7 linked regions of the Oryctolagus cuniculus genome follow. The protein of the gene in region 1 interacts with the protein of each later gene in a pairwise test. Links are inferred from orthologs where the notes say so. Each region holds a gene or a part of one and is shown on either strand. Other genes may lie near its edges. The genes, in order: NTAQ1, GNMT, EDARADD, BLMH, PNMA5, CBY2 and LONRF1.

The links.
Region 2: the proteins of NTAQ1 (region 1) and GNMT interact in binary tests that used the Homo sapiens proteins (3 or more experiments, as listed by UniProt). The two-hybrid records come from large-scale screens. The link is inferred for Oryctolagus cuniculus from reciprocal best matches to the Homo sapiens genes NTAQ1 and GNMT.
Region 3: the proteins of NTAQ1 (region 1) and EDARADD interact in binary tests that used the Homo sapiens proteins (3 or more experiments, as listed by UniProt). The two-hybrid records come from large-scale screens. The link is inferred for Oryctolagus cuniculus from reciprocal best matches to the Homo sapiens genes NTAQ1 and EDARADD.
Region 4: the proteins of NTAQ1 (region 1) and BLMH interact in binary tests that used the Homo sapiens proteins (3 or more experiments, as listed by UniProt). The two-hybrid records come from large-scale screens. The link is inferred for Oryctolagus cuniculus from reciprocal best matches to the Homo sapiens genes NTAQ1 and BLMH.
Region 5: the proteins of NTAQ1 (region 1) and PNMA5 interact in binary tests that used the Homo sapiens proteins (3 or more experiments, as listed by UniProt). The two-hybrid records come from large-scale screens. The link is inferred for Oryctolagus cuniculus from reciprocal best matches to the Homo sapiens genes NTAQ1 and PNMA5.
Region 6: the proteins of NTAQ1 (region 1) and CBY2 interact in binary tests that used the Homo sapiens proteins (3 or more experiments, as listed by UniProt). The two-hybrid records come from large-scale screens. The link is inferred for Oryctolagus cuniculus from reciprocal best matches to the Homo sapiens genes NTAQ1 and CBY2.
Region 7: the proteins of NTAQ1 (region 1) and LONRF1 interact in binary tests that used the Homo sapiens proteins (3 or more experiments, as listed by UniProt). The two-hybrid records come from large-scale screens. The link is inferred for Oryctolagus cuniculus from reciprocal best matches to the Homo sapiens genes NTAQ1 and LONRF1.

Annotation. Positions count from the first base shown.
Region 1 is NC_091437.1:149,158,463-149,160,903, reverse strand, and holds the end of NTAQ1 (protein N-terminal glutamine amidohydrolase), read right to left. Parts: intron 1,379-2,441; coding exon 1,269-1,378; 3' UTR 501-1,268; downstream 1-500. UniProt on the Homo sapiens protein: Mediates the side-chain deamidation of N-terminal glutamine residues to glutamate, an important step in N-end rule pathway of protein degradation.
Region 2 is NC_091436.1:127,046,987-127,051,211, forward strand, and holds GNMT (glycine N-methyltransferase), read right to left. Parts: upstream 2,801-4,225; 5' UTR 2,764-2,800; coding exon 2,558-2,763; intron 1,762-2,557; coding exon 1,634-1,761; intron 1,252-1,633; coding exon 1,135-1,251; intron 931-1,134; coding exon 788-930; intron 685-787; coding exon 563-684; intron 478-562; coding exon 306-477; 3' UTR 160-305; downstream 1-159. UniProt on the Homo sapiens protein: Catalyzes the methylation of glycine by using S-adenosylmethionine (AdoMet) to form N-methylglycine (sarcosine) with the concomitant production of S-adenosylhomocysteine (AdoHcy), a reaction regulated by the binding of 5-methyltetrahydrofolate.
Region 3 is NC_091444.1:61,364,979-61,368,962, reverse strand, and holds the start of EDARADD (ectodysplasin-A receptor-associated adapter protein), read left to right. Parts: upstream 1-1,184; 5' UTR 1,185-1,222; coding exon 1,223-1,282; intron 1,283-1,740; coding exon 1,741-1,825; intron 1,826-3,984. UniProt on the Homo sapiens protein: Adapter protein that interacts with EDAR DEATH domain and couples the receptor to EDA signaling pathway during morphogenesis of ectodermal organs. Mediates the activation of NF-kappa-B.
Region 4 is NC_091448.1:45,698,746-45,702,953, forward strand, and holds the start of BLMH (bleomycin hydrolase), read right to left. Parts: upstream 2,801-4,208; 5' UTR 2,662-2,800; intron 1-2,661. UniProt on the Homo sapiens protein: The normal physiological role of BLM hydrolase is unknown, but it catalyzes the inactivation of the antitumor drug BLM (a glycopeptide) by hydrolyzing the carboxamide bond of its B-aminoalaninamide moiety thus protecting normal and malignant cells from BLM toxicity.
Region 5 is NC_091453.1:131,406,284-131,410,559, forward strand, and holds the start of PNMA5 (paraneoplastic antigen-like protein 5), read right to left. Parts: upstream 2,801-4,276; 5' UTR 2,673-2,800; intron 477-2,672; 5' UTR 335-476; intron 1-334.
Region 6 is NC_091440.1:64,764,256-64,768,402, reverse strand, and holds the start of CBY2 (protein chibby homolog 2), read right to left. Parts: upstream 2,801-4,147; 5' UTR 2,700-2,800; coding exon 2,625-2,699; intron 2,347-2,624; coding exon 2,266-2,346; intron 1,258-2,265; exon of another isoform or gene 1,243-1,257; coding exon of another isoform or gene 1,129-1,242; intron 1-1,128.
Region 7 is NC_091433.1:78,025,142-78,028,641, reverse strand, and holds part of LONRF1 (LON peptidase N-terminal domain and RING finger protein 1), read right to left. Parts: intron 3,244-3,500; coding exon 3,091-3,243; intron 1,918-3,090; coding exon of another isoform or gene 1,834-1,917; exon of another isoform or gene 1-1,833.

The sequences.
Region 1 (2,441 bases):
TGGCAAGAAAAACTCAAAAGAGCCACTTGTAAATGAGTTTATGGTCCTTTGATCTCCCTGAAACGTTTCTGCTCAGGACAAAGTCTTTTTGCAGCACTGCCTGCCAAAATTTATCTTCTTTACTTTAGCCATGAACTTGATAAGCCCTCTGAAACTCCATGAAGAGATCTCAGGGTGGGCTCCATATTTAGCTCTGTTATAAAACAACTTAAGAGGTGGTATCTATATTCTTCCTACCAAAAGCTCCCTGGCTTTCTCCCAGAATCTTCCTGGTCATCTGAACCAATGCGCTCAGTCACATTCCCTTAGACTATTGGATGCTTCAGTAAATGTCTAAGTCTTACCCTCCACAGCACAAAGCAGATGACTCACATCAAACCCGAGTGTCTTAATAAGGCCAAGACTCATCTAAGAACAAAAGCTTAGTCATCCTTGCTGTAGGAAGTCATTCGTTTTCACAATGGAACCACACAAACATGAATGAGAGCTGGTACAATATGCCAGGTTAATGTCAAATATCTTTTATTTGGAATGACATGATTAAAGCCAGATTTCCAAGACACCCTCACAAAGGCAGAGGAGATAAATGAATTTTAAAGCACTGGTTCTCATCTATGACTGACACACTGTTGGGTGTCTCAGATCATCAACAATGACACAAAAATCTTCAAAACAAAAATAATTCTCAATCAATTTTATTCAAAACCATAAATAAACAGGCCAAGTAAGAGAGGACTGCGATCTTCTAAACATCACAGCCCAGGAAGACTAATATTTATTGCTGACTCAGCTCACAACATTATCCCTTTTAAAAACAGCAGCACGGTCACAAGAAAATGTTTCATGGGCACCTCACACGAGCATCAGAGCTTCCCAGAGCAAGGCGCCGCGGCTCTGCCCCCAGGAGCTTCCAGTGCAGCTGGAGAGACACTGCAGACATCCAGAACACACAGGAGGACCCAGGGCTCAGTCCACACCCAACAGGAGCAATCACTGGCGGAAGTCATCATACACCTTACAAGTGAGCCACAGGAATTTCTTAGCTTACACGCTAAATCAAGTTTCAACTTGACACAGCAAAAAAAAAAAAAATTTTTTTTTTACTTAGTGTGTTTATACTTGTGTTCATTCGTGTTTCCACTCAATTGAATTAAGGGAGGAAAAACATAATTCCAGGCCAACTGTACCATAATGTTCATTGTCCTAAGTGAAGGGATGGCTTGTTCAGGTCCTAAATTTTTCCACAGTTCCACGTCCTGATGTCGAGCTCAGCAGCTTTTACTGCCAAACCGATGTGCAAATTCGGATAGCGTGTAGACAGCGCCCCATCCCACCTTAGGGTCCATACTGATGAAATCATTCAGGTTCATTTTGGAATCTAGAAAAATACATGAAAGAAATGTCTACTGAAAACACGATTTGGGTTTAACAGCAACAAAACAACTCCAAACACCACAGGAGGGAAACTGTTCAAGTGGGTAAGGGTTCAATGTCACTTCTGCGGTATGCTGGCCTTTGGCACAACCTCTACCTCATCACGACAAAACGTCACACAAACCCAAAGCGAGGGACACCCTACAAAATAACAGGCTTCAAAAGCATAAAGGCTGTAAAAGAAACATAGGGAGAAAAAAACTAGCACAGATCAGAGGGAACTGGAAAGACATGAAAAGGTAACCATAATATCATGGGGTTAGATTCTGGACCAGAACAAGCAAATTAGAGAAAAAAACAAAACCTAAAGAAGTTAATAGTACTGTGTCATAATAATATATCACTGTTTTTGTGCCATTGTATCATTTTCCTGGTTCAAGTAACTGTATTGCTATTATGTAAGACTTAACACTAAGGGAACCTAAGTGAAAACTACACAGAAACTCTGTCCTGTTTCAGCAAATTACCTAGAAACCAAAATTATTTCAAAATAAAAGTGAAAAAGTACATGAATAATCAAACAGCCAATTTAGTGGTTTCAATGGCCAATGTACAGGAAATTCAAAGAACATGCCGAGATATAATCAGCAAAGCCAGACTGTTTCTCTCAGACCCAGTTTCTTCAAATTACAAGTAAAAAAGTTAATGAGACTTTTAAAAGACATGTCAGGGGGCTGGTGCTGTGGTGTAGCAGGTAAAGCCGCTGCCTGCAGTGCTGGTATCCCATATAGGCACTAGTTCAAGTCCTGGATGCTTCACTTCCAACCCAGCTCTCTGCTATGGCCTGGGAAAGCAGTGGAGGATAACCCAAGCACCTGGGCCCCTGCACCGGTGTGGGAGACCTAGAAGAAGCTCCTGGCTCTGGATTGGCGCAGTTCCATTTGTTATGGCCATCTAGGGACCAAACCAGTGGATGGAAGACCTCTCTCTCTCTGCCTCTGTAACTTTGCCTTTCAAATAAATAAATTGTAAAAAAAAAAAAAAAAAAAAAAAAAAAGACGTATCAG
Region 2 (4,225 bases), on another chromosome or scaffold:
GCTCACCAGGCATCTCCTGCCCCAGGCCAGCTGCTCAGGAGAGCTGGGGATTGGGCCCTCACAGTGGCTGAAAATAAAGTGTATGCCGCCCCCTGCTGGTGTTGTGGCAGGACTGTTTGGTGTGGAGAAGAGCAACATAGAAACACAAAGCCTGCAGGATCCGACAAGGCACAGGCTGTATTGCTTACTCTACCTTTGGCCTGAACCCACACCCCCAGCACCTGCAGGGACAGAGGGGCTGGGCGTGGGGCTGCCGGGCCCCCCTCCCCAGGTCGGGCAGGAGGCTGTGGGAGCTGCGGCCGCACTCAGGCTGTCCTCTTGAGCACGTGGATGAAGTAGCAGGGAACGTAGGCCTGGCCCGGCTGGTAAGGCTTGAAGTCGCCCAGGACGCTGTGCTGGCACTTGCCCTCGAAGGCTGCTCGCAGCAACTCCGTGAAGGGTGCCAGACAGTGTGGGTAGTAGGAGAGCCGGAACTTACTGCAACAGAGCCCCAGCCAGCCGTGAGGCCTGCTGGCCCCGGCTCCCCTCATGGCCACCTCACCTCCGCCAAGCCCAGTGTTACCTCAAGCTCGGAGGGCCGTCCTGGCCAGCCGCCGGCACCTGCACCGTGTAGTCCAGGGTCACCATGTGGGCTTTGTTGTTCACTGTCAGCACTGACGTCGTGACGTCCTTGGTCAGGTCACTCTGGGCAGTGGTACAGGCTGTGTGAGCCTCTGTCACCCACCGTGGGGCCCTGGAGCCCAGGCTCACACCGTGCACTGCGGCCCCTCCCTCCTGGGGGGCTCACCTTGTAGTAGATGTTCTTCCCGGGGGGCGCACAGCCCGTGCTGAGGATGTGGTCGTAGTTGCGGTGGTCGATGACCAGCAGGCCCCCGGTGCGCACCATGCTTGCAATGTTCTTCAGCGCCTGCCGGTGCTCGCTCTGGTCCCCTGAGCTCCAGGCAGAGGCTCGGTCAGCTCAGGGCCCCTAGCGCCAGCCTCCCCCCATCCGTCTCCTCCCCAGGGGCTCCAGCACTGCGGCACAGGAGGGCAGAGAGCAGAGTGTGCTTTGGCAGGAGGGCAGGCTCCCAGGGGTCTGTGGAAAGGGGTGGGGTTCAAGGCAAGGCTCTGCCTGCCCGAGACCACACCTCTCACCTTTGCAGTCTGGCAGGTGGGCAAAACTGTTTCCAAGGCAGATGACCGCATCAAAGCCACCCCCTGCTGGCTGGGGTACGTCTTTATCCAGAGTCATCCAGTTGGCTTCTTCTATGACTATGGGGCCAGGCGGGAGAAGAGGAAGCAGGGTAACCTCGTGGCATGACTAGCACCCCTCCACCAAGTGCAGTCCTGCCTGTTTGTTCTTTAAGATGCACACCCACCTGCATGCGTGCGCAATCCTATCCAGTTAGGAGGGGGTCTTGATGGACATGGAGGGGTCAAGAGAGGTGGGGGCTGTGTGTGTGTGTTCATTTGGGGGGAGGGCCAGTTAAAGCTCTCACACTCACTGCCCCATTCTGGTACCCAAGCCTTCCTCCTCAGAGAGATGACCGTTTTGCTGTCCCCTTGAGGAGAACCAGCTGTCCCCCTGCCCAGCCCTGGCACCCAGGGCAGAGAGGACGGCGTCTCTGGGCTGCGCCCAGCCGGAACTGCATACCCCATTTGTCGAAGGCAGGCTCGTGCCGCCGGTTCCAGCGCTCTTTAAGCGCATACTTCAGCATCTTGTCACTGGCATCCACACTCGTCACACTGAAGCCCTCCTCCACCAGCATGATGGAGTCCACCCTGCACAGGGTCGGAGAGGGGCAGTCAGGGGCCTGGGAAGACAAGGAGGCCCCTGGCAAGTGGAGCCCCTCTGTCCCAACTCCAGAGGCCCAGGCTTCCTCTGCCTTCTCACTGCCCTCAGATGACCTGGCAAATCTGCAGCTGATCACCAGGGGGCGCCTCTTAACGAGCACCTTTGCAGAGCCAGGCAATGTGCAAACTGCATTAATCCTCCCAGGGACTCTGGGGCAGGTGTGTGAGCTGCCTTTGAGAAAGGGACAACTTGCAGTTCCTGGAGTTAAGTTATAGCCCCAGAAGCAGGACAGCGCAGTGGCGCGACCCTAACCAACCTGGGGTGGTGTCTCCTCCGCACCAGGTGGGGCCTTGACTGACTTTGAGCCCTCACTTCCCCAGGAGTGAGTGCGGATTAGCACTACTCACCCCCATGGGGTTTTGTGAGGGTTTGAAAAACAGCAGGAACACAAGTTCCTGGTGCAGCGCTTGGCATGTACGCACGCTGAGCAATTGTTAACGCTGCCCAAGGTCAGGGCTGGAGGGGCCAGGTGGGAGCCAGGATCAGGGCTGGCCCCAAAGTCCGGCTCCTGCTCTGCGCCCTGATCGCTCTCATTGCGGCCCAGGCCCAGGCCCGCGCACCCTCACCCCCGCTCTCCCTCCGCCCTCGCCCGGACACTCGCCGCACCCCTTCTTCCCCCGGAGGCGGCGGCGGCGCTCCTGGGCCCTGGCTCCTGCCTGCCATGTGGTTTGGCGGCCGGGCCAAGCCGACCCCTGGTCGCCCCCCTACCCCGCTCGGGCTCACCCGGTGCCGCAGGCCACGTCGAGCACCCGCCGGCAGCCGTGCTGCCGCAGCAGCCCGAGCAGCCACGTCTTGTACTCGGAGGTACGGCTGCGGGTGTCCCCGATGTAGAGCTGCCACACGCGCGCCGCCTCCCCGTCCGCGTACTGGTCCGGGAGGCCTTCGGCCGCCACCCCCAGAGAGCGGGTCCGGTACACGCTGTCCACCATCCTGACCGCGCCTGGGCCCCGCAACCTCGGCTTCGGCACTTATAGCTCGGCCGCGGCGGTCGACCCGGCAGCCTCACCTGGCCAATGGCAGGTGAGCGCGGGGACACGCCCCTCCTGGACTCGTGGCCGCGAGCCCGCTGCTGCCGGGACTTCGGGCAAGGCGCTGCCCGGCAGTTCAGCACCCAGCCCTTTGGACAAGCCCACGTGGGAAGGAACCTGCTGCCCACTCGGCCCGCACCTGCAGGACGGCCCCGGGAGGCACAGGGCCCTCTCCACGCCTGCTCCGGTTGGGAAAAAGGGAAGAGCACTTCAAAACCCACACCGAGCTGAGCGGGGTGAGGGGCGGGGGCGGGGAGCGGCAGGACTGGACCGCGCGGCGAGGCGATGGGCGTACAGGAGGAAGGCCCGGCAGCCAGGAAAGCCCGGGCACGAGGCGTCCTGGGGATGGTGCCGCTCCGTTTCCCACAGTCAGGGACAGAGCCCTGACTGGAGGAAGAAGCATCCCTGCCCACCTGGAGCAGGTGTGTCGCTGTTGTGTAGGCGACAGACACTTCAGGATTCCCCCTGAGCCTGCTAAGGCTGAGTGTGGTTCCTACCCCCCGCCCACCCGCTTCTAACATCTGGTCCACTGGGCACTAAAGACCATCTGCTTCCCTCCAGGCGCCCACAGGGTCACACATACAGGGGCAGGAGTGAGCATGCTCGGTGCCCTTGCTATTTTATTGTTCCCATCTGTCGTGGGAAGTGACCATTTGAGGCCTGTGTGGCAGGCAGCGAGAATTCACCAGAGCGGAGAGTGAGCAGAGTTAGATTTACTAAAATACACTGCGAGGGAGCCAGGGCCACGCAGGCCAGCTGGAAGCTGACAACCGCTGCAAATGTGGATCCTAACCTGGGGACACAGACCTGGGCTGACTGTCGCTGGCCAGGACATGTTCCATGACCCCGTTGCTGGGGTCTTCGAGGGGCCCGGGAGACCCTCACACTGTCTCTTTGTAAGTTGGGCATTTGAGAGTGGGCATCTGGCCTGGCTGTTAAGACTCCACTCAGGGACACCCACATCCCATATCGAAGTGCCGAGATTCAAGTCCTGGCTCCACTTCCTGTTCCAGCTTCTTAACAGTGCTGACCCAAGGAGGCAGCAGGTGACCATGTGGGAGATGGGAACTGAGTTCCAGGCTCCTGGATTCGGCCTGCTCCAGCCCTGGCTGTTGTGGGGATGTGGGGAGTGAACCAGTGGATGGGGCTCTCTCTGTTAGCCTGTATGTCTCTCTGTCTCTTGTCTCTCTGCCTTTCAAATGAAATAAACAAATTAGTCATTTGGTTTGCTTAGTGCATGTCTACCCTTACTGCCCGGAGCAGTAAGTTTTCCAAATTTCTCTCCCAAGGACAAGACCCTGACTAAGGTGGATTTAGGAAAGTGCCACTGAGACCATGATGTGGATGCCGCCTCCACCCGCAC
Region 3 (3,984 bases), on another chromosome or scaffold:
TTTGTAAATTTCAAAATATCATAGCTTCCATTTGCATTATACTTTATATATCACAAAGCACACAGGAAAAAAAAGATAATGATGAAGAGATTTTGATTCATAGGGAAGGAGGCACAAAAAAATGGAATGAAAGGGAAAAACATGTACCTCATCAGTCTTCTTTCTGAAAAAATTAACCTTAAAATGCATTTCTACCACCCAGCTTCTATTTGATATAGTGAAAGATAGGCATGATAAGAGGATGAATTACAGTTCAGAGTTTTGTAAAGCAAACCCTCATTAGAGTGACACTTGAGGTTGTGCTGCTGAGAAAGAGAGAGCCTAACTTGACTTGTGGTTCCTGACAGCCAACCTCACAAACAATTCCATCTGCATGTAAAGTACAGAAAGAACCACAAACCAAACCTCAAAATGGATTCTATGAGAAAATACCCTTAAAAAAATTCCCTTCCTATCAGAAGGTAGACCAAGAGGAAGTTTATCCTCCCACCCACAAATTTGCAAGAGCTTTCGTCTTCAAGTTTTTGCTGTGGTTCAGCATACAGTGAGCACCCTCTTCTCTTGAACGTATTTCTTCCATGGAAAATTCCAGAGAATAAGACGGCAGTCTTCAATGTGCCATGGGCCTCAGGACGACTAAACAGATGGGGAGAGGCACAAAGCAACCTGCTGGTCACCAAGAGGGTATGTAGACACTTGCCACTCTCCTGAATCTTTCAGGGCTCAGTGTTCAGCTAGAGGTTACTTCCGTACGGTAACTGACTGATAATATTGTACACTAACTACTATTCTTAACTCTTTCAAACCAATTTTTGTGATTGAGTTCTTAGGTATGAAGGTATCAATGATTTAAAACTCTTTAGAGATTCCTAGTAAATTTAAATTGCCTGTAACATTCCAATAATAAATTAAGTTTTAATTAAATGTTTAGTTAAAATGTAGCAATATTAAATATATTCTTAATAAATTATTGCAATCAATGCTCACTTAAGGAAGTGGTATAAAATCCCATTTGAATCAAACAAGTTATATTTTTAGAGGACCAGTTGAGCATTTCCCAGAGAACCTGAAGCAGTGTTTTCTAGAGAGGCTATGAGTGTGCGCCTCAAGTCTGCTTTGTGTAGCATTCACCCTGGAGGTCATGTAATAACTAATGCCAAAGAACAATCCAAATAGAAAGTATTAGCGTGTGCCATCATGCAGCGGCACAGTCTGTCTAAAGATGAGGAAATTGTTTAAATATCAGATCGCCGGCAGGCATCTCGGCCCAGGCCTGTGTGAGGTGAGTCCCAGCTGGGGAGCGATTAGGGAGCCGGGAAGGCGACCTGCGGCGGCCGTTTCGTCTGTCCCGTGGCTGCAATAGTCTTAGCCCCGCGGTGGGACCCGCACAGGGGAACGTGGGCGCGGGACAGGAAGTGCACCAGGGGCACAGGGGATGCCCTGGACCCCAGCGGGGGCGGGGGGCGGGAGCTCTCTCTGCGCTCCAGCCTGCTGCCTTGGAGCCTCGGCCCCCGCCGCACGCCTCTGGAGGGAGGGACGCGCAGAGAAGGGGCTTTGCTAATTGGCAAAGCAGGAAGTGAGCACGAGGAAGAAGCGGTGGAAACGGAGACGGGGAGAAGGAGGAGGAGGTAGAGGAGGAGGAGGAGGTGGAGGTGGAGCAGGGGCGCGCAGAGCTGCCTAGCTTTGCTGGGAGCGCGTTGGAAGAGCAGGATTTTACTGTGGTCCCGCTCTCCTCCCCAGTCCCGGAGGCCGCCCAGCCCGACTCGGGCGCTCGTCTGCCCCCATCCTGCCCCCATGGCTTCTCCGGACGACCCTCTGCGCGCAGGTAAAGTGACACCGCGCTGCGCACCCACCTGGAGCGGGGACCACTGGCCGGGAGCTCGCGAGGCACCCACGGATGCGGCGGGGTGTCGGGGCAGAGCCTCGGTGACCCCAAGGGGTATCCCGGGGGCCACCTGGGCCCCGAGTGGCTGGGCTGGGTGCAGCGGTGGCACCCCCTACTCTGGCCCCCTGGGCGGCTTTTGGTTGGAGCCGTTGCCCCCAGCACTCTCCATGGCCCCTGCTTCTGATTTCCCTACGCGTGCCTGACGCTGTCCTCTGGCTGTGTGGCGACCCCAGCAGCTTCTGTTCCGGGCCCAGGGTGCCAGGTTGAAACAAGCCCCCAGAAAACTCTAACTGAAAGGAGTGTAACAGTGCTGTCTGTGAATCCTCACTCACATTCCTTCTCATTATCTGCTCTTTCTCCTCGATTCTTTTTTCTTTAAACACTTTTGTAAATAGTGGTCCTTGGAGCTATTTTATAAACTAATATTCACAGAACCTAGGGGCTGGTCCCACAGAAGAATTCTGCTGCTCGTGTGGAGGCCTTGGATTTAGAAAATAGGCTCTAGTTTTACCCTTATTTTAAAATACTGAGTGTTTTGTACCTGAGGCCGGACTTTAGATTTTTCTTTAATCTCTCACTTGAATTGAAATCTTCATACTTCACCTTGCAGGAATTCTCTGTCCCCGGTGGCACATAACCTAGGCCGTGAGCTCCACAATTTTATTGAACATAAAAGTGAATGAATTATGTATTCCCCAGATTACACTGGTGCTTTGTCTGCTTTTGCTGAGGTTGGAAATGCTAGGGAGAGCCAGAAAAAACTGCTGAGATGAATGTGTTCCCTATTGTGTTTCTTGAGCTTAGGCAGGGGGCAGAGCTTGACCCTTCCTTGGTGCTTTGTGGCTTGAGCAGTTAGGAGAAGATAGAACGTGTCAGAGGTGCTCAGTAGATTAAACCAACAGCCAAACTGGCGCTGTGAACGGTGAACGGCCAGGGGGGTTTCCAGGAGCCATCAAAGAAAAATTGAAATTCATCTTCAAGTGGGAATGATAAACATTTATCAACTGGAGATGGACCATACCTAGACTGGACGTCCTTTCCCTCTCCATACCCCCATCTCCCATTGTTTGGAGAAACACAAGGGCACGGAAAGGAGGAAACCCTCTCCCACTCCCCTATCCTCACTTCCATCCCTGGATCTACCTCCTCTTCTAAGAAAGGAATTGACAAGGAGCCAAGAGGTGTTTTAGGCTAGATTTCACTAATAGTGCTCTCAGATTTCATTAAGTGATGATGAGGGGTGGGATTCACAATGATCTTGAGAGAGAGTCATTGAATGGGGATAAATGTGAAATATGCTTGGGCCCCTGATGGGCTGCGGCAAGCAGGGGGAGGTGGGAGGGAGCTAGGAAACACAGCTAGGCAGTGGCATCGGTATATGAAAAGCCCCAGTGAGTTGATCGTTTGATATGGCCACCAGGTGGGCAAACGTAATCTCAGATGTCAGTAACAGCACTCCAGGGTCTGTGATTCCAGTGATGGTGCTTGTAGCCTGCTTGGCCTGGTCAGCTTGGAACCAGTGCATAACCTGGAATAAAGGGACTTTGAAATCCCAGCAGCATCTGTGGAATGATGAGAGAACAGAAGATTTGATGGTAGGAGAGCGTCCTATATAAAGAATCTAGCTCTTTAAAAGGCAGAATGGAAATCTGTGGGTGAACTCTTTTTTTTTTTTTTTTTTTTTTGACAGAGTTAGAGAGAGAGACAGAGAGAAAGGTCTTCCTTCCGTTGGTTCATCCCCCAAATGGCCGCCATGGCCGGAGCTACACCGATCCGAAGCCAGGAGCCAGGTACTTCTCCTGGTCTCCCATGCGGGTGCAGGGGCCCAAGCACCTGGGCCATCCTCCATTGCCTTCACGGGCCACAGCAGAGAGCTGGACTGGAAGAAGAGCAACCAGGACTAGAACCTGGCGCCCATATGGGATGCCGGTGCCGCTGGTGGAGGATTAACCAAGTGAACTACAGCGCCAGCTCTGGGTGAACTCTTTAGACAGAGGTAGATTTGAGTGTCCCACAAAGATGAGGGAGACCTCCTAAGGTTGAGACCTCCCCATCACTTGGCAGATGACGTTGAAGAACATATTCAGGCATCTGAAAGA
Region 4 (4,208 bases), on another chromosome or scaffold:
ATTTTATGTTATGAGAAAAATAGCACTAAATTATAGAAGTTTTTAATTTTGTGTGAAGGCTTCAGAATTGTATTCCTATCATAAAAGTCAATTTTTCTAGACATTGCTGTGGTAGGAGTGTAGAATAAATGATCGGCCGGCGCCGCGGCTCACTAGGCTAATCCTCCACCTGCGGCGCTGGCACCCGGGGTTCTAGTCCCGGTCGGGGCACCGGATTCTGTCCCGGTTGCCCCTCTTCCAGGCCAGCTCTCTGCTGTGGCCTGGGGGTGCAGTGGAGGATGGCCCAAGTGTTTGGGCCCTGCACCCGCATGGGAGACCAGGAGAAGCACCTGGCTCCTGGCTTCGGATCAGCACAGTGTGCCGGCCGCAGCACACCAGCCATGGTGGCCATTGGAGGGTGAACCAACGGCAAAGGAAGACCTTTCTCTCTGTGTCTCTCTCTCACTGTCCACTCTGCCTGTCAAAAAAAAAAAAAAAAGAAAGAAAGAAAGAATAAATGATAAGGAGAGAGATCTTCTATCCATTGGCTTACTCCCCGAATGCCTGCAACATTTGGGGTGAGAAATGCTTTATACAGGGGCCAGTATTGTGGCACAGCGGGTGAAGACACCACCTGCAATGCTGGCATCCCATGTGAGCTCCAGTTCATAACCCAGATGCTCCACTTCCAATCCAGCTCCCTGCTAATAGCTTGGGAAAAGCAGTGGAAGATTGTCAAAGTGTTTGTGTTCTTATCACCCACATGGAAGACCCAGATAAAGCTCCTGGCTCTTACCTTCGGCCTGGTCCAGCCCTGGCTATTGAGACCATCTGGGGAGTGAACCAGCAGATGGAAGATCCCTCACTCTCTGTAACTCTGACTTCCAAAATAAATAAATAAATATTTTTTCAAAAAAAAAAAAAAAAAGAAATGTTACATATGTAGGAGGTGAGAGATGAGGTTGAAAAGAAGGTTACCAGCTAGCAAAGCATGTTGAAAGTCATGCATCCTTTATTTATAGGGCTACTAGAATACCTACAGGCAGTGAGACAAATGAAAGAGAATTGTATTCAACGGATGTTGTCCAAAAGCAATACACTGGGATTCTTGGCCGGCGCCGTGGCTCAATAGGCTAATCCTCCACCTTGCGGCGCCGGCACACCGGGTTCTAGTCCCGGTCAGGGCGCCGGATTCTGTCCCGGTTGCCCCTCTTCCAGGCCAGCTCTCTGCTATGGCCAGGGAGTGCAGTGGAGGATGGCCCAGGTGCTTGGGCCCTGCACCCCATGGGAGACCAGGAAAAGCACCTGGCTCCTGGCTCCTGCCATCGGATCAGCGCGGTGCGCCGGCTGCAGCGGCGGCCATTGGAGGGTGAACCAACGGCAAAGGAAGACCTTTCTCTCTGTGTCTCTCTCTCACTGTCCACTCTGCCTGTCAAAAAAAAAAAAAAAAAAAAAAAAAAAAAGTTCAAAAGCAATACACTGGGATTCTATTTCTCCCCAATCGCTCTCCCTTCCCTGCATCTGATTCATTCACTCAACTGCTTTCTGAACACCCACCGTCTGGCAGCAAGTGAACTAGACACTTGAGACACAAAGACCAGTAAGATGTACTCCCTGACTTCAAGGAGCTCCAATCTAGTGCAGAAAATAAGCAACAAAATTCATCATTTAAAAAAAAATAAGATGAAAATATTGATTGGGGAGCCAGCACTGTGGCATAGCGGTAACGCTGCCACTGCCTGTGATGCCAGCATTCCATGTGGGCACCAGTTTGTGTCCTGGCTGCTCCACTTCCCATCCAGCTCCATGCTGGTGGCCTGAGAAGGGTGCAGGAGGATGGCCCTAGTGTTTGGGCCCCTGTCTCTCATGTGGGGGACCTGGATGAGGTTCCTGGCTCTTGGCTCCAGCTTGGCTCGGCCCCCGCTGTTGCAGACATCTGGGGAGTGAATCAACAGACCGAGGATCTCTCTCTCTCTCCCTCTCTCTCTCTCTGTGACTCTGACCTTCAAATACACAGACAATTTAAAAAATTACTGATTAAGCTATACTGGGTAGAGAAATACACAGGGAAAATAGGGAGGCGACGTCCTCCACATTCTGGTGCTTACATCCTAGTGGACCCAAACAATAAACAAATATATTAGTGGCCTACAGGAAATAAAACAGGTTCACGTGACAGTGACTGGCCAGGGGTAGTGGTCACTGGAAAAGCCATTGAGAAGAGGGGACTGTTTGGGCTGAGAGTGAGTTCAGTAAGGAGCCAGCCTGAGGCGAATGCAGTTAAGACGCCCTGCGTTCCAGGTCAGAGTCCCTGGGTTTGATTCCTACCTCTGGCTCCTGACACCAGCTTTCTGCTAATGCAGACCGTGGGATGCAGCAGGTAATGGCCCATGGCCAGGTCACCCACTTGGGAGACCTGGATTGAGTTCCCAGCTTCAGATTCTGGTGCCTGGCTTTGGCTTGGCCAAGTCCCAGTCGTCGTAGGCATTTGGCAGGGCGGAAGAGCAGATAGGATCTGTGTGTGTGTGTGTGTGTGTGTGTGTCTGCCTCTCAAGTAAAAAAGCGTTAATTTTTTTTTGAAGAGAGAAAAGACCCAGGCTCGCAAGGGTCTATGAGAGAAAGCATCCAGAAGGAAAAGCGTGTGTCAGGCCTTAACAGAAACACACAGCACGCAGCACTCACCAGGGAGGTACAGGATCAGCTTCTCCCCAGCTCCAGGATCAGCCTCCCATGGCGGAAGCGGCAACCTCCGGCTCTCCTCATGCTTTGTTTTTTAAGTCCGGTGGGAAAACGTCTGACTTTTTCTCTGTCTCTCCTAAGAGTACGAACAACTTTCCTGGGACCTCTCAGCCTCTCTCTCTCTCTCTCTCTCTCTGAATTTTGTTGTCCAAAATGAGGTCATGAGACTTTTCTTGTTCCGGTCATTGGCAAGGGGAATGTAATTACTCTCATGCCAATCAGGCCTTCCCCGGGGGTGGGGGTGGGGGTGGGGGGCGCCGGCCAGTGCCCCAGCCTGCACTGCTGCTTCGCAGTCCTGCAGGGGAGGAGCGGGAACTGAGAGTTAGCCTTGCTGTTTGCTGCACCGTAGCAAGAGTTCAAATTTTATTCTAAGTATGACAGGAAGGCATTGTAGGGTTTTAAGGGATGAAAGGGCATGATTCAATTTCTGTTTTTAAAGGATACCTTGCAGGTATCTGTGACATATTTAATTTATTTTTTAAGATTTTATTTATTTATTTATTTGAAAGTCAGAGTTACACAGAAAGAGGAGAGGCAGAGAAAGAGAGAGAGAGAGAGAGAGAGAGAGAGAGAGGTCTTCCATCGCTGGTTCACTCTCCAGATGGCTGCAACAGCCGGAGCTGCGCCAATCCAAAACCAGGAGCCAGAGGCTTCTTCTGAGTCTCCCACATGGGTTCAGGGGCCCAAGGACTTGGGCCATCTTGCACTCCTTTTCCAGGCCATAACAGAGAGCTGGATTGGAAGTGGAGCAGCTGGGTCTCAAACTGGTGCCCATATGGGATGCCAGCGCTTCAGGACAGAGCATTAACCTGTTGCACCACAGCGCCGGCCCAATGACACATTTAATTTAAAGATATATTTTACAAATGCCTAAATATTCATAGGAAAGAGATGAACAACATAATATAAAAAGGAACAGAAAACTAAACAGATATCTCACAAAAAAGAAGCATGAACGGCAAATAAATAATAATGATGGAAATGCAAATTAAAGTTGAATTAAGGGGCCAGTGTTGTGGCGAAGTAGGTGAAGCTGCTACCTGACTCGCCAGCATCCTATATGGGCACCAGTTTGTGTCCTGGAGGTTCCACTTCCTATCCAGCTCCCCACTAATGGCCCAGGAAATGCAGCAAAGGATGGCTTAAGAGTTTGGGTCCCTGACACTCATGGGGGAGACCTAGATGATGCTTCTGGCTCCAGCCTGGCACAGCCCAAGCTCTTGCAGCCATCTGGGGAGTGACCAATGGATGGACAATCTCTCTCTCTCTCCCTTTCTCTCTCCTTCTCTCTCTATAACTCTGACTTTCAAATGAATAAACGCATCTTTCTAAAAAATAAAATAGGGTTGGCGGTGTGGCAGAGTGAGTAAAGCCACCACCTGTGATGCCAGCATCCCATGTGGGCAGTGGTTCAAGACCAACTGCACCACTTCTGATCCAGTTCCCTGCTGGCGCAGCTGGAAAAGCAGCAGAAGATGGCTGTCTGTCTC
Region 5 (4,276 bases), on another chromosome or scaffold:
CTTGAAGAGCAACAGGTGATGTCACTATCCTCCAGCCAATGGAAATGTCCTAGCAGCAAGGGAGCTGGGAGAGTGAAGGGGAGATGGGGGTGAGGTGAGCAGCAAGGACTGAGTGCTGAAAAAACAAGTGCTTAAGGTTTCATATTGTGTAGCAGCTAGAATTAGGGGCAGAAAAGGGACCCAACGAAGGGTTCCCACTGTCCCGCTGCAGGAAACAGACAACTGTCACCCTAGGTGTGGCCCTACCCTGCAGAGTGTGTGGATCCTGGAAGGCAGCCTTTGTCCCCTTGTCCTTTGCCAGGGTCACAGAGGCTCACCTTCCAAAATAACTTACTTGACGACTTGGCAGTGTGGATTCCACTGGCCGTGTAGAGTTTGTGATTCTGATGTAATCAGGCACTCAGCTTGCTCTCCAGCTCTGTCCTGTCAGGCAGTTCCCGAACCAGGTTAGATGGATCAGGATCCCTTCACTGGATCTGTCCAAAGCAAGGCAGAGGTATTTCACTGTGGTTACGTCCCAAATGCCCTGCTCAGGATGTGCCAATTTTGAATCTGCTCACGAATACAAGAAACTGCTGCTCCACCCCCAGGGAAAAATCCCACCCACCAAGCCCCAAATCCCACCTCCACTCAAGCCACACCCCCAAGGCCAAGCTCTGCATCCACCTAAGCCTCACGCCTGCCATGTAACTGCGTCCACGCAAGCCCCACTCCTTGCACCAAACTCTGCGTCCACGCAAGCCCCACCCCTGCCGTCTAACTCTGCGTCCACGTAAGCCCCACCTCTGGTGCCAAACTCTGCGTCCACGCAAGCCCCACCCCTGCCGTCAAACTCTGCGTCCACGCAAGTTCCATCTCTGGTGCAACACTCTACGTCCATGCAAGTCCCACCTCTGCCGTCAAACTCTGCGTCCACGCAAGCCCCACCCCGGCGCAACACTCTGTGTCCACGCAAGCCCCACCCCTGCCGTCAAACTCTGCGTCCACGCAAGTCCCACCCCGGCGCAACACTCTGCGTCCACGCAAGCCCCACCCCTGCCGTCTAACTCTGCGTCCACGTAAGCCCCACCTCTGGCGCCAAACTCTGCGTCCACGCAAGTCCCACCCCGGCGCAACACTCTGCGTCCATGCAAGCCCCACCCCTGCCGTCTAACTCTGCGTCCACGTAAGCCCCACCTCTGGCGCCAAACTCTGCGTCCACACAAGTCCCACCCCGGCGCAACACTCTGCGTCCATGCAAGCTCCATCTCTGGTGCAACACTCTACGTCCATGCAAGTCCCACCTCTGCCGTCAAACTCTGCGTCCACGCAAGCCCCACCTCTGCCGTCTAATCTGCGTCCACGCAAGCCCCACCCCTGCCGTCTAATCTGCGTCCACGCAAGCCCCACCCCTGCCGTCAAACTCTGCGTCCACGCAAGTTCCATCTCTGGTGCAACACTCTACGTCCATGCAAGTCCCACCTCTGCCGTCAAACTCTGCGTCCACGCAAGCCCCACCCCGGCGCAACACTCTGCGTCCACACAAGCTCCACCCCTGCCGTCAAACTCTGCGTCCACGCAAGCCCCACCTCTGGCGCCAAACTCTGCGTCCACGCAAGTCCCACCCCGGCGCAACACTCTGCGTCCACGCAAGCCCCACCCCTGCCGTCAAACTCTGCGTCCACGCAAGTCCCACCCCGGCGCAACACTCTGCGTCCACGCAAGCCCCACCCCTGCCGTCTAACTCTGCGTCCACGTAAGCCCCACCTCTGGTGCCAAACTCTGCGTCCACGCAAGCCCCACCCCTGCCGTCAAACTCTGCGTCCACGCAAGTTCCATCTCTGGTGCAACACTCTACGTCCATGCAAGTCCCACCTCTGCCGTCAAACTCTGCGTCCACGCAAGCCCCACCCCGGCGCAACACTCTGCGTCCACGCAAGCCCCACCCCTGCCGTCAAACTCTGCGTCCACGCAAGTCCCACCCCGGCGCAACACTCTGCGTCCACGCAAGCCCCACCCCTGCCGTCTAACTCTGCGTCCACGTAAGCCCCACCTCTGGCGCCAAACTCTGCGTCCACGCAAGCGCCATTCCTGGCGCCAAAAGCCAACCTCTGAAGATCCACTGAACCGGCAAACTGCGTCTTGCGCAAGCGCCATTTCTGGCGCCAAAAGCCACTTTCACCAAGAGCCACTGAACCGCCAAACTCTGTGTCCATCCGAGTGTCATACACTCCGCCATTCATGTGCACGTCCTGCACCCACCCAAGTTCCTCACTTCCATTTCCCTGTACTCCTTTCCCCCACCTCATTATCTTTAACCTCCTGTACCCATCAGGCTGTCCCATTCACTCCTAACCTCACACACCCTTTCCACTACTCTGAGCAGGGACACATCTAGTCAGCAGAGGTAGCTAGAGGCTAGAACAGGAATGGCCAAAGCCACTTTCCCTCAAGGATAAGGGCCAGAACCAGTTGTCCTTACTGCTACGTCTGGGCAGGTTTGGGGTAGAATGGGCCCTCCTAAAGTTCTGAGGCCACTCATGATAACTGGAAATATCAGGGACCCCTAGGATTCTGCTTCCAGGGGAATCTAAGGCCACTGGCCCCTGGGACCTCATGGAGGTCAACCAGGATCATTGGAGGGAATCTGTTGTAACCTTGGTTCCCTTTTGTGCCCAAACCCAGCTCCTTACCTTCTGGGAATGCCTCCAGGCCACAGCGCCCGTGCAGCGTGGCCACTCTGCCGCCGCCACTGTACGGAATGAGCCGCGAGTTTGTGGCGGGAAAGAAATTGTCGGGTAAGCAACGGTCTTCAGCACCGCCCACTCGCAGATGCATCCCGGCAACGTCTACGGCCACGCCCACCCCCATCTCCACCTCCACCCCACTCCTGCAATAAAGGGGTTGTGCCCTGTCCACCGCACGTTTCTCCTCTGAGTCATGACTGGAGGGGGAACAGAGAATTCAAACCATACTGAGAACTGTTGCGTTGCAGAGTTGCTCACAGTCCAGCTTGTACGTGCTCAATAGAGGCCGACAGGACCACCACCTGTCACATCAGTCCCAGCAACCATTGCGGCTACTATGATAGGTGTCTCTCACCCATTGGACTGGGACTGGCTCTGACTTTCACCAGTGGCTCCTCCTGTTTGTGTATTCCAAGCTATGCACACAGGGCTATGTGCAAAGTATAGGTCCAGGTGCAAACTACAAGCTCGGTACCTACTAACTAACCAAACGTCTCTGTCCTTGTTAATTTTTATCCACTGTGTCCTAGGGGACGGCAAAAAATAAAAAATACAGCTACTACCTTCATTTTACAAATGCATGCAATTTTCAAGGCTCATTGAGATACAGGAAACTATCAAGATTTCATTCTCTCATTATTCTCGTGATTGCATGAGAATTACCCACGAGGTACCGAAACTTCTCTCTTTTCTTTCCCAAAGCAGGTTTCTTCCACAGAGGGAAGACTTAGCTGTTTTCCTTGGGGCTACTGGGGACCCTAAAGTCCTGTCCCAGCAAAGGGCACTGGTGGGACACTGGTAGCAGTTTACAAAGTGCACACACATTTCCCAGAGCAGGTGATAGTAGCGGTTCAAGTTGTGAGTCAGGAGGTCTTGGCAGAGCTCAGAGTCTGCAAAAGTACCAAAACTCTAGCGGCTATTGCAGTTCCCTGCCCATGCTTTGTGTAGCACTGCTCTGAGATTACCAGAGCCAGAAGTTGTAAGCTGACAGAACGTAAGTTTTGCTGTATTTGGTACGAATAACAGGCCTTTTTTAAAATCATATTTTAATGAAAATGTGAAAAGCAGAAAACTTTTAAAACTAAATGTCACCAAGTAAGATACATACAAATATTGCATTATTCTCCTTTAATTGAAAATTTTTCCTAGGTGAGACATGACACTGTAACCCAGACCCCTATACTGCGTACTTAACAAGAACATACTTTGGACTATCTCTTAAATTAATTTCCTTCTCCTTACTGGAGAAAATGATTACTTGGCGCTGCCACGTGGTCACAGACCAGACGGCTCTCCTTACAGCAGTCCACAGCACCCTCTGGATGACACCACCAGCTGCCCAGTCTCATACAGGCTGTGAGCAGAGCTGTCCTGAGCACCTCTGTACTTCATTCTACTTCTCACTGCTAGACTTGGCTCCTCCCTAGTCTTTCCTTAAAAACAAAAAGTTGCTGAGGGATGAGGAGGAGATCATGGTGCATTTTACCTGAACCCTGTAAACCCGGACCACCCAGAAGGTTAAGAAACCCCTCAGCCTTTTGTGTTGTGGC
Region 6 (4,147 bases), on another chromosome or scaffold:
AAGACTTATAGAGCTAAGAGGTGACCTGGTGCAGCCAAGTGAGTATGGATATTGACCTGGTTCAAGATCCTGACTCCAACCCTACTATTACCTGAAGGGCTCTAGGAATTCCTGGTTCCCATACCTAGAAAATCTTACATTTGCGTGTCTTTGTGCTCAAAACATGATATGATCAATAGATCAATATTCAGTCAACACTTCTCCCCCTCTTTTCTCCTCTGCCAATGCTTACCTCCAATTGTGTGCACCATCTCATGTTGGGAGAGTTAGCAAACACATCATCTTTCTCACAGCACTAGTGGTGGTTTGCCCACTTCCTTCCTGCAGATGACTAGTCTACAGTATCCTGGAAGGTGCCTTCAACCTGCTTCCTGGTTGTGCTTCTTTGTCATGTGTACCCCTGAGGCCACATCTGTCCACATGGGGTACATGTGCCCAGATAATTGCTGAACATTTTCCTCACTGTACACCCACCCTGTCTTCCAACTGCCCAACAGCTGTACCAGGTCCTATAGCACAGAAAGTGGGTGGCCCCAGGACAAGCCAGGGACATAGTCTCAAGCCTCCTTTTCTCCTCCTTGATTGCTAGGATGTTTCTGGGAGTGGATAGGGGAAGTTGTGCTGGATATAGATAGAAGAATCTCTCCAATCTTTCTATCATGTGACCATCACTTATTTAAATCCTATTCCCACCCTCACTGTCACCTCCACCCCACCCTGGATTGGCATCTTCTACCCATCCTTTAACAATGGAAAGATTGAATTACACAGGCTATGAAGAATCAAAGGAGCAACACCGACCATCAAAAGGAATAGTGTCCAATGGAATTCCCTGTATACAACAGAAAGAATTGGACCTAGAAAGGTTCCTGTAGCTTATCATCATCCTGTCAAATGATCAGCAATGCTATATTCTGGCTAAGTCTCATGAGCTGAAACAGATAGAAAGTGTCTGTTACTTGCAGAGTTTTAAGGATAATGTGAAAACAAACATCCAGAATATTTTCTTGTCCTCTATTTGTGCCTCCTGCTGAACATACATGCCTAGATTGTTCAGTCACATACATAGAATGCCCACTGGTGACCCACCCTCCTACATGACTCTGGACAGAGCTGTCAGATAGTTACCTCTGCATTGGATCTCTCCATTCTACATTTCAACCCCTCTGACTGCATGCCCATGGTCTTCCAAAGGGGCCTTGAGTGACTCTGGGAGAAGCAAGGCCATGCCCTTTGTGACATAACAGCAGTAGAAACAATCCAATCAAGAGAACCCCACCAAGGAAACAGCCACTTGCAGGAGAAGACCTTAGAATCTCCAGCCTGTTGGCTGGTGCCGCAGCTCACTAGGCTAATCCTCCGCCTCGCGGCGCCGGCACACCAAGTTCTAGTCCTGGTAGGGGTGCTGGATTCTGTCCCGGTTGCCCCTCTTCCAGGCCAGCTCTCTGCTGTGGCCCGGGAGTGCAGTGGAGGATGGCCCAAGTGCTTGGCTCCCTGCACCCCACAGGAGACCAGGAGAAGCACCTGGCTCCTGCCATCGGATCAGCGCGGTGCGCTGGCCACAGCGCGCCAGCCACGGCGGCCATTGGAGAGTGAACCAACGGCAAAGGAAGACCTTTCTCTCTGTCTCTCTCACTGTCCACTCTGCCTGTAAAAAAAAAAAAAAAAAAAAAAAAAAAAAAAAAAAAAAAAAAATCCAGCCTGTCAGAACTGCACCTACACATTGTCCTAAAAAAACAAACAAGCAAAACAAACAAAACCATGCACGTATCCTTTATGCTCTCTCTTTGGTACACAGCAGGGCTTAATTCTATTGACATCTCCAAATGATACCTTAGCATCCAGTCAATGTGCTAGGTTTTCTCCTCATGGACTCATTCGTAAGCATTTGACCCCAAGCCCCAGGTCTACTTGTCCCCCTAGAAATCCAGAGTGCTAATACATCACCAAGCACCAAAGATCTCCCTTTGAGGATGAATATTTGATTGTTTTTTGTTTTTTTTTGTTTTCAGTCTAGCATAGAAACTTGAAATGTTAGGGTGGCCAGGTCATCTAATTCACACTCCTCGTATGAGAGAAGAGGAACCCAAGGCCCACAGAGGCCATGTTTCCTCCCCCAGGCACAGAATGGGTGGGTGGTCAAATGCACAACTAGAATCGGAGGCCTTGACTCTTCAGCTTACTCCACATCAGGCTGGAGTTTTGGAAGAGGAGTGTTATTCTGCCTTAAACGGGCAGATTTCATCCTTCTGTGATTAATCCTACCTGAGGCAGAACCACATTGATTGGGATTTCTAGGCTTTCAGATCTGGTATCTCGTTTTCTTGTAAAATTTGGCCTCGAGTGCTGTAGAAAAGAGAAAAGAGGAAAATTTCTGTTGCCCAACCCACCCTCTGGGCCTCCATTGCTCATCTGACAATTATAGGACTTTCTACTCATTTATTTGCTTCTTGTCAATTAGGTACATTATGAAAATCTGCATCTGCAAATGTGTGTGGACAATCTCTGATATTTTATTAAACAAATTCATACAGATACTATAGCTGATGTCTTTGAAGCACTGATTGCTAATATCTACATCCTTGTGTAAGACTACTGTTTCCCTCCCAAGCAAAAAGCCATACCAATGTGAGGTGCCAGGTATAGGTCCTGTGCAGAAGTTGGTCACCAAAACACTCAGAACATTCCAGAGGTGACATCACAAAACAATATGGTGTTCTGCAGGGCTCATGGTTTCTCTCTGAGCGTCACAGGTGGGAACGAAGCATCTGGCAGGTAGGAAGAGTTTTGCAGCATCTGTGACCACGTGGCTAAGTAGGGTCAGTGTGACACACAATACCCCAAACACCAGGCCCTGATTGGTCATCCCCACTGCCAGGCCGTCCTCTCTCCAGAAGGGGCATTATCTACTTGTAGTTGTATTGCTCAAGAAGAAATACCAACTGAATTCCCAGACCAAAGGAGGAAAGAGGGACTCAGGAGCTTTGTGGCACCACTTGATTCCCCAGGGCTGTCACCAGTGGACGCCCTGAAACCATCGACCTGGAGCGAGTGCCAGATCCCAGAGGTTAGGTGCTCAGTCCCACCAAGCTGCCTTCACCTCAGATGCCACTTGTACCATTGACTGATCAGCTATAAACCAGGAGTTCCATGACCCCTTCTTTGGCTTCAATAATTTGCAAGAATGGCTCACAGAACTCAAGAAAACACTTTACTTATGATGACCATTTTCTTATAAGGGGCACAACTCAGGAACACCAAATAGACGGGATGCACAGGGAAGGTATTGGGCATTGAGGGTGGTGTGGAGTGGCCGTGCCAGCCCTGGGCAGCCACTCTCCCAGCACGTCCACGTGTCCTCCCACCAGGAAACTCTCTGAACCCCACTGTTGAGGTTTCATTACACAGGCGTGGTTGTTTAAATCTCCAGCCCCTCCCCCCTTCCTAGAGGTAGGGGTTGGGGGGTGGTGATGAGAGTTTCCTCTTTTTAATCACATGGTCAGTTTTTCTGGCGGCAGCCCCCAGCCTTCAAGGGTTGCCTCATTAGCTGAAACTCAGGTGTGTTCCAAAGGGGCTCATTATGAATAACAAAAGACACAGAGGAAATGCCAAGGATTTTAGGAGCTCTGTGCCAGGAATCAAGGACAAAAGCAGAGTTTATTTTCTTATTATACCACGGAGGTAACAGCATCAAGACCACAATGCCCCATGCCCTGGCCTCACTTCGGGCAAATCATTCACCACTAGAGGCTGTTCATGGGAGCCTTTTCTTGTACCGTAAGCCAGTGGCACACCCCAACCCTACGTGCAGTAAGAAGGGAATGACGGACCAGAGGCAGCAGATCCTGAGACACCAGCCAGAACCACCTTTTTGAGTCCCCCACACCCAAATTTACAAGAAAGCTTTGCTTTAAGACCTAACATGCGGCCGGCGCCGTGGATCACTTGGCTAGTCCTCCACCTGCGGCGCCGGCACACCGGGTTCTAGTCCCCGTTGGGGCGCCAGTTCTGTCCCGGTTGCTTCTCTTACAGTCCAGCTCTCTGCTGTGGCCCAGGAGTGCAGTGGAGGATGGCCCAAGTGCTTGGGCCCTGCACCCCATGGGAGACCAGGAGAAGCACCTGGCTCCTGGCTTTGGATCAGCGAAGC
Region 7 (3,500 bases), on another chromosome or scaffold:
TCCCTTAACAATCATGTAAGGTAGGCTATTATTCTGCTCATACACACTGAAGACACTTAGAAATGTAATACAAATTGCCCAAGATCTCTAGACTCCTGTGTGCAGAGTCAAGATTCAAAGCCAGACCCGACTCCACAGACAACACCCTTTCCCCTGTACAGTACTGCCTCAAAGCAGGGCTTCCTGAGCTCAGGCTACTGACACAGATAATCCCTTGGTGGTGTGGGGCTGTCCTGTGCACTGTGGCACACTCAGTAGCATCTCTGACCACTACCCACTAGATGCAAGGAGCACCTCTCCAGGTGTGCTAGCCAAAAATTTCTCTAGAGAGTGCCAAATGTCCTGTGGTGTAAAAGCACCCTTAGTTAAGAACTGTCTTCTTAAAATATGTATTTAAAGCATTAAAAAAGTTAATTGATACTTTAAAATTTCTTCAAAGAATTATAAAATCCTAAAGAAAAATACAAAAAAAAGGGGTGTCTCTGTTTCTTTTACTTTGAAAATAAACATACCTCTAGCAATAGGGTCCCTCTGATGGTACAGGGACTGACTACTGGATACAGAAAGAACTATAGCTCTTGGTCAGTCATTTTGCAGAATCAAGATGCAGTCAGGAAAGCTAAGGCAGTAGTTCCACAGTCCAGAAATGAAGGGTTTAATGAAGGGTGCAGAACTAGGAAATCTACATAAGCAAATTTATAAGCCATCCTACTACATATTGAAGTGCTTTTCATTGGCCCTGAAAAATGGAGCTTCAGAATGACAAATAAAGCTATGCTGGCACTGATCTAAATAAGCTTCCCTTAGGACCAGATTTTATTTCTACATAGTATATTATCTGTTCTCAATTCATTCTGTATTGCAGTAGTGTCAGAAACAACATTTCCCAGAGTTCCCTACCCTGTATGGTTCCAAGTTAGACTTGACCAACATGAGGCACTCTTGTGAGAGCCAGAAATTGGAAGAGAAGCTATTCTCCAGAGACTTTGCAAAGCATGGACAGCAGTTTTCCAGAGAATTCTTGAAAACCACCTGCAGCAAGGCTGCAGACTGATACACTGGTGGAAACTCCCCAGGATCTCTAAAACCATAGCAGCTCCCCGGCAAGCTCTCGAGAACCGTCAGACAGAGACGGAATATCAGACAGAGGTCTGTGCACAGACTCCTGGACCCTGCTGGAGACAACATCACCTGCACCCACCCAGCTCTTCCAGTGTGTATGAACTGTGCACCCTTCATTAAACATTTTGTTCCTGGACTGTGGAATGACTGCCTTAGTGTTCCTGACTGAATCTTGATTTATAGAGGATGACTGACAGGGAGCAATGGTAGACAGCTGGGTGATAAAAGACGAGGGTGGTGAAGGTCATGGGAAAGTAATGCTGGCTTTTTCTAGAAGCTATTTTTAATGCTTAAAATTTACTCATTCAATTTCGTTCTTGTCAGAGCCTATTTTTGTCATGTTTAATCAGCACCAGGTAGCCAGAATAAAACAAATGTGTGGCGACTGATAATACGCTAGATACAGAATGAGCACTGTACTCAATATGGAGATGGTCTTATGCTGAAATTTCAAGTTTAAGTGAAGGATTCAACTGGGATTCAGCCAGATTTTAAACAACTTTGGCAATCAGAATGAGAGACAGTATGGTTCACAATGAGATCTATTATCTCTCCATTTTCATCTACCTACTTGAAGCTATTCCTTTACGAAATCTATCACTTTCTGATCACAAACACTATGCGAGTCAGGATGCTCAGGTCTGAAAGTGAGTGCTTTGATGAGTCTATAACCAGAGTTCCCAGCACAGCAGCCCTTCTTTCATGCCTTCTTCACTGCCTTCTACACAGATCTGCTTGTACAGAAAGTGCTTGATACACGGTAATTAAATTAAGCTCAATGTAAACTCCAAGTATCTGTGAAAGACCATTAAAAAAAAAGTTTCAGGAGGAGTGAAGTATTAAATATGAAGACACAGAAAATGGATTGAGAGGCTATGGAGTAGAATATTGGTAATAAAATGAGACATGAAAAAAATACACCTGTTTTAAAACTGTATTTATTTGAGAGGCACAGACACAGAGAGAGTTTCCTTACGCTGGGACACTCCCCAAGTGGCTGAAACAGCTGAGGTGGGGAGGAGCCAGAGCTGAGAGTCAGAAACTCAACCCAGGTATTCCACATAAATGGCAGGAAGCCAACTGCTTGAGCTACCACTGCTGCCGCCTAAGGGACATGGGTAGGAAGCTGGAGTCAAGAACCACAGCCTTGTATGTAACTGAGGTATTCTAATGTGGAACACAGGCATCTGAACCACTGAACACCCACTCCCAGAGACAAATGACTTTTTTGTGTATGCAAGATGATATATCTCTCAACTGTTAAAGAATAACAGCAACAGCTGACTGGCTCCAAGGTGTGAAGGTATGGTTTTCTCACAGTCACAGCTGACTAGATGGTTATGTCCCACTATAAATTCCTTATTGTTCCTTCCAGAAAATGGTCAGTTAAGGACTTTCTCCCCATGCAGCGCTGCCTCCCACAGGTATCTGAGCTGACATCTGTTTCCTAGCTATGTGAAATGTAATGGACATCACCATTCTGGAGAATAAGGCCATGATCCTGAAGGCAGGAAGCCAATGGAAATGCTGCACAAAAAGGCAAATGCGCGGTAGCATTTGGCCTACAGTTAAGATGCCACTTGGGACATCCACTCCCATACTGGAGTGTCTGGGTCTGAGTCCTGGCTCTACTCCCAATCCCAGCTGCCTGCTGATGGACACCCTGGAAGCAGCTGGTGACGGCTAAAGTATTTGGGTTGCTACCACCCAGGTGGGAGATCCAGATTACATTCCCATATCCTGACTTTGGTTTGGCCCAGCCCTAGCTGCTGCAGTCATTTAGGGTGGGAAGCAGTAGGTGGGAGAATTCTTTCTTATTGTGTGTGTGTGCGTGTGTATCTATCTATCTATCTATCTATCTCTCAAAATAAATACTTTTAAAGGCAATTGGAAGTTAAATTTAAAAATCTACTAATCTGGGCTTACAAAAAAGAGAGACCTTTGGAAGCAATATCAAAGTCATCTTACCTGAAGGTTTTCCTCCCTCTCAGGCATTGATCCAAAGTGCTGAAGAATTTGGCTTCGAAATCTGTCTCTTAAATTCTGAAACCAGCTGCAGGCTTGAGAGTACACCAAATCATGAAGCTCTCTGAGGTTCTTTATTTCATCTTCATTTTCAACCTGGAAAGAAAATAGGCAATGAGACTTCTGTGTCTAATTTCCCCCGTCCATATCACTAATCCTATAGAAATGCCAACAAGTCTCAGAAGAACTGGGAGGCTCTTTTTCCACGCAGAATTATTACAGTATGTTCTTACACTATAATAGCACATATTTCTGCTTCACATAGATAATGTGCCAAACTGAAGAAACATGGCATGGCCTGACCTCCACAAGCCTTGCTAACTTAGCAGTGTAATACTGTAGAATCCTACTTA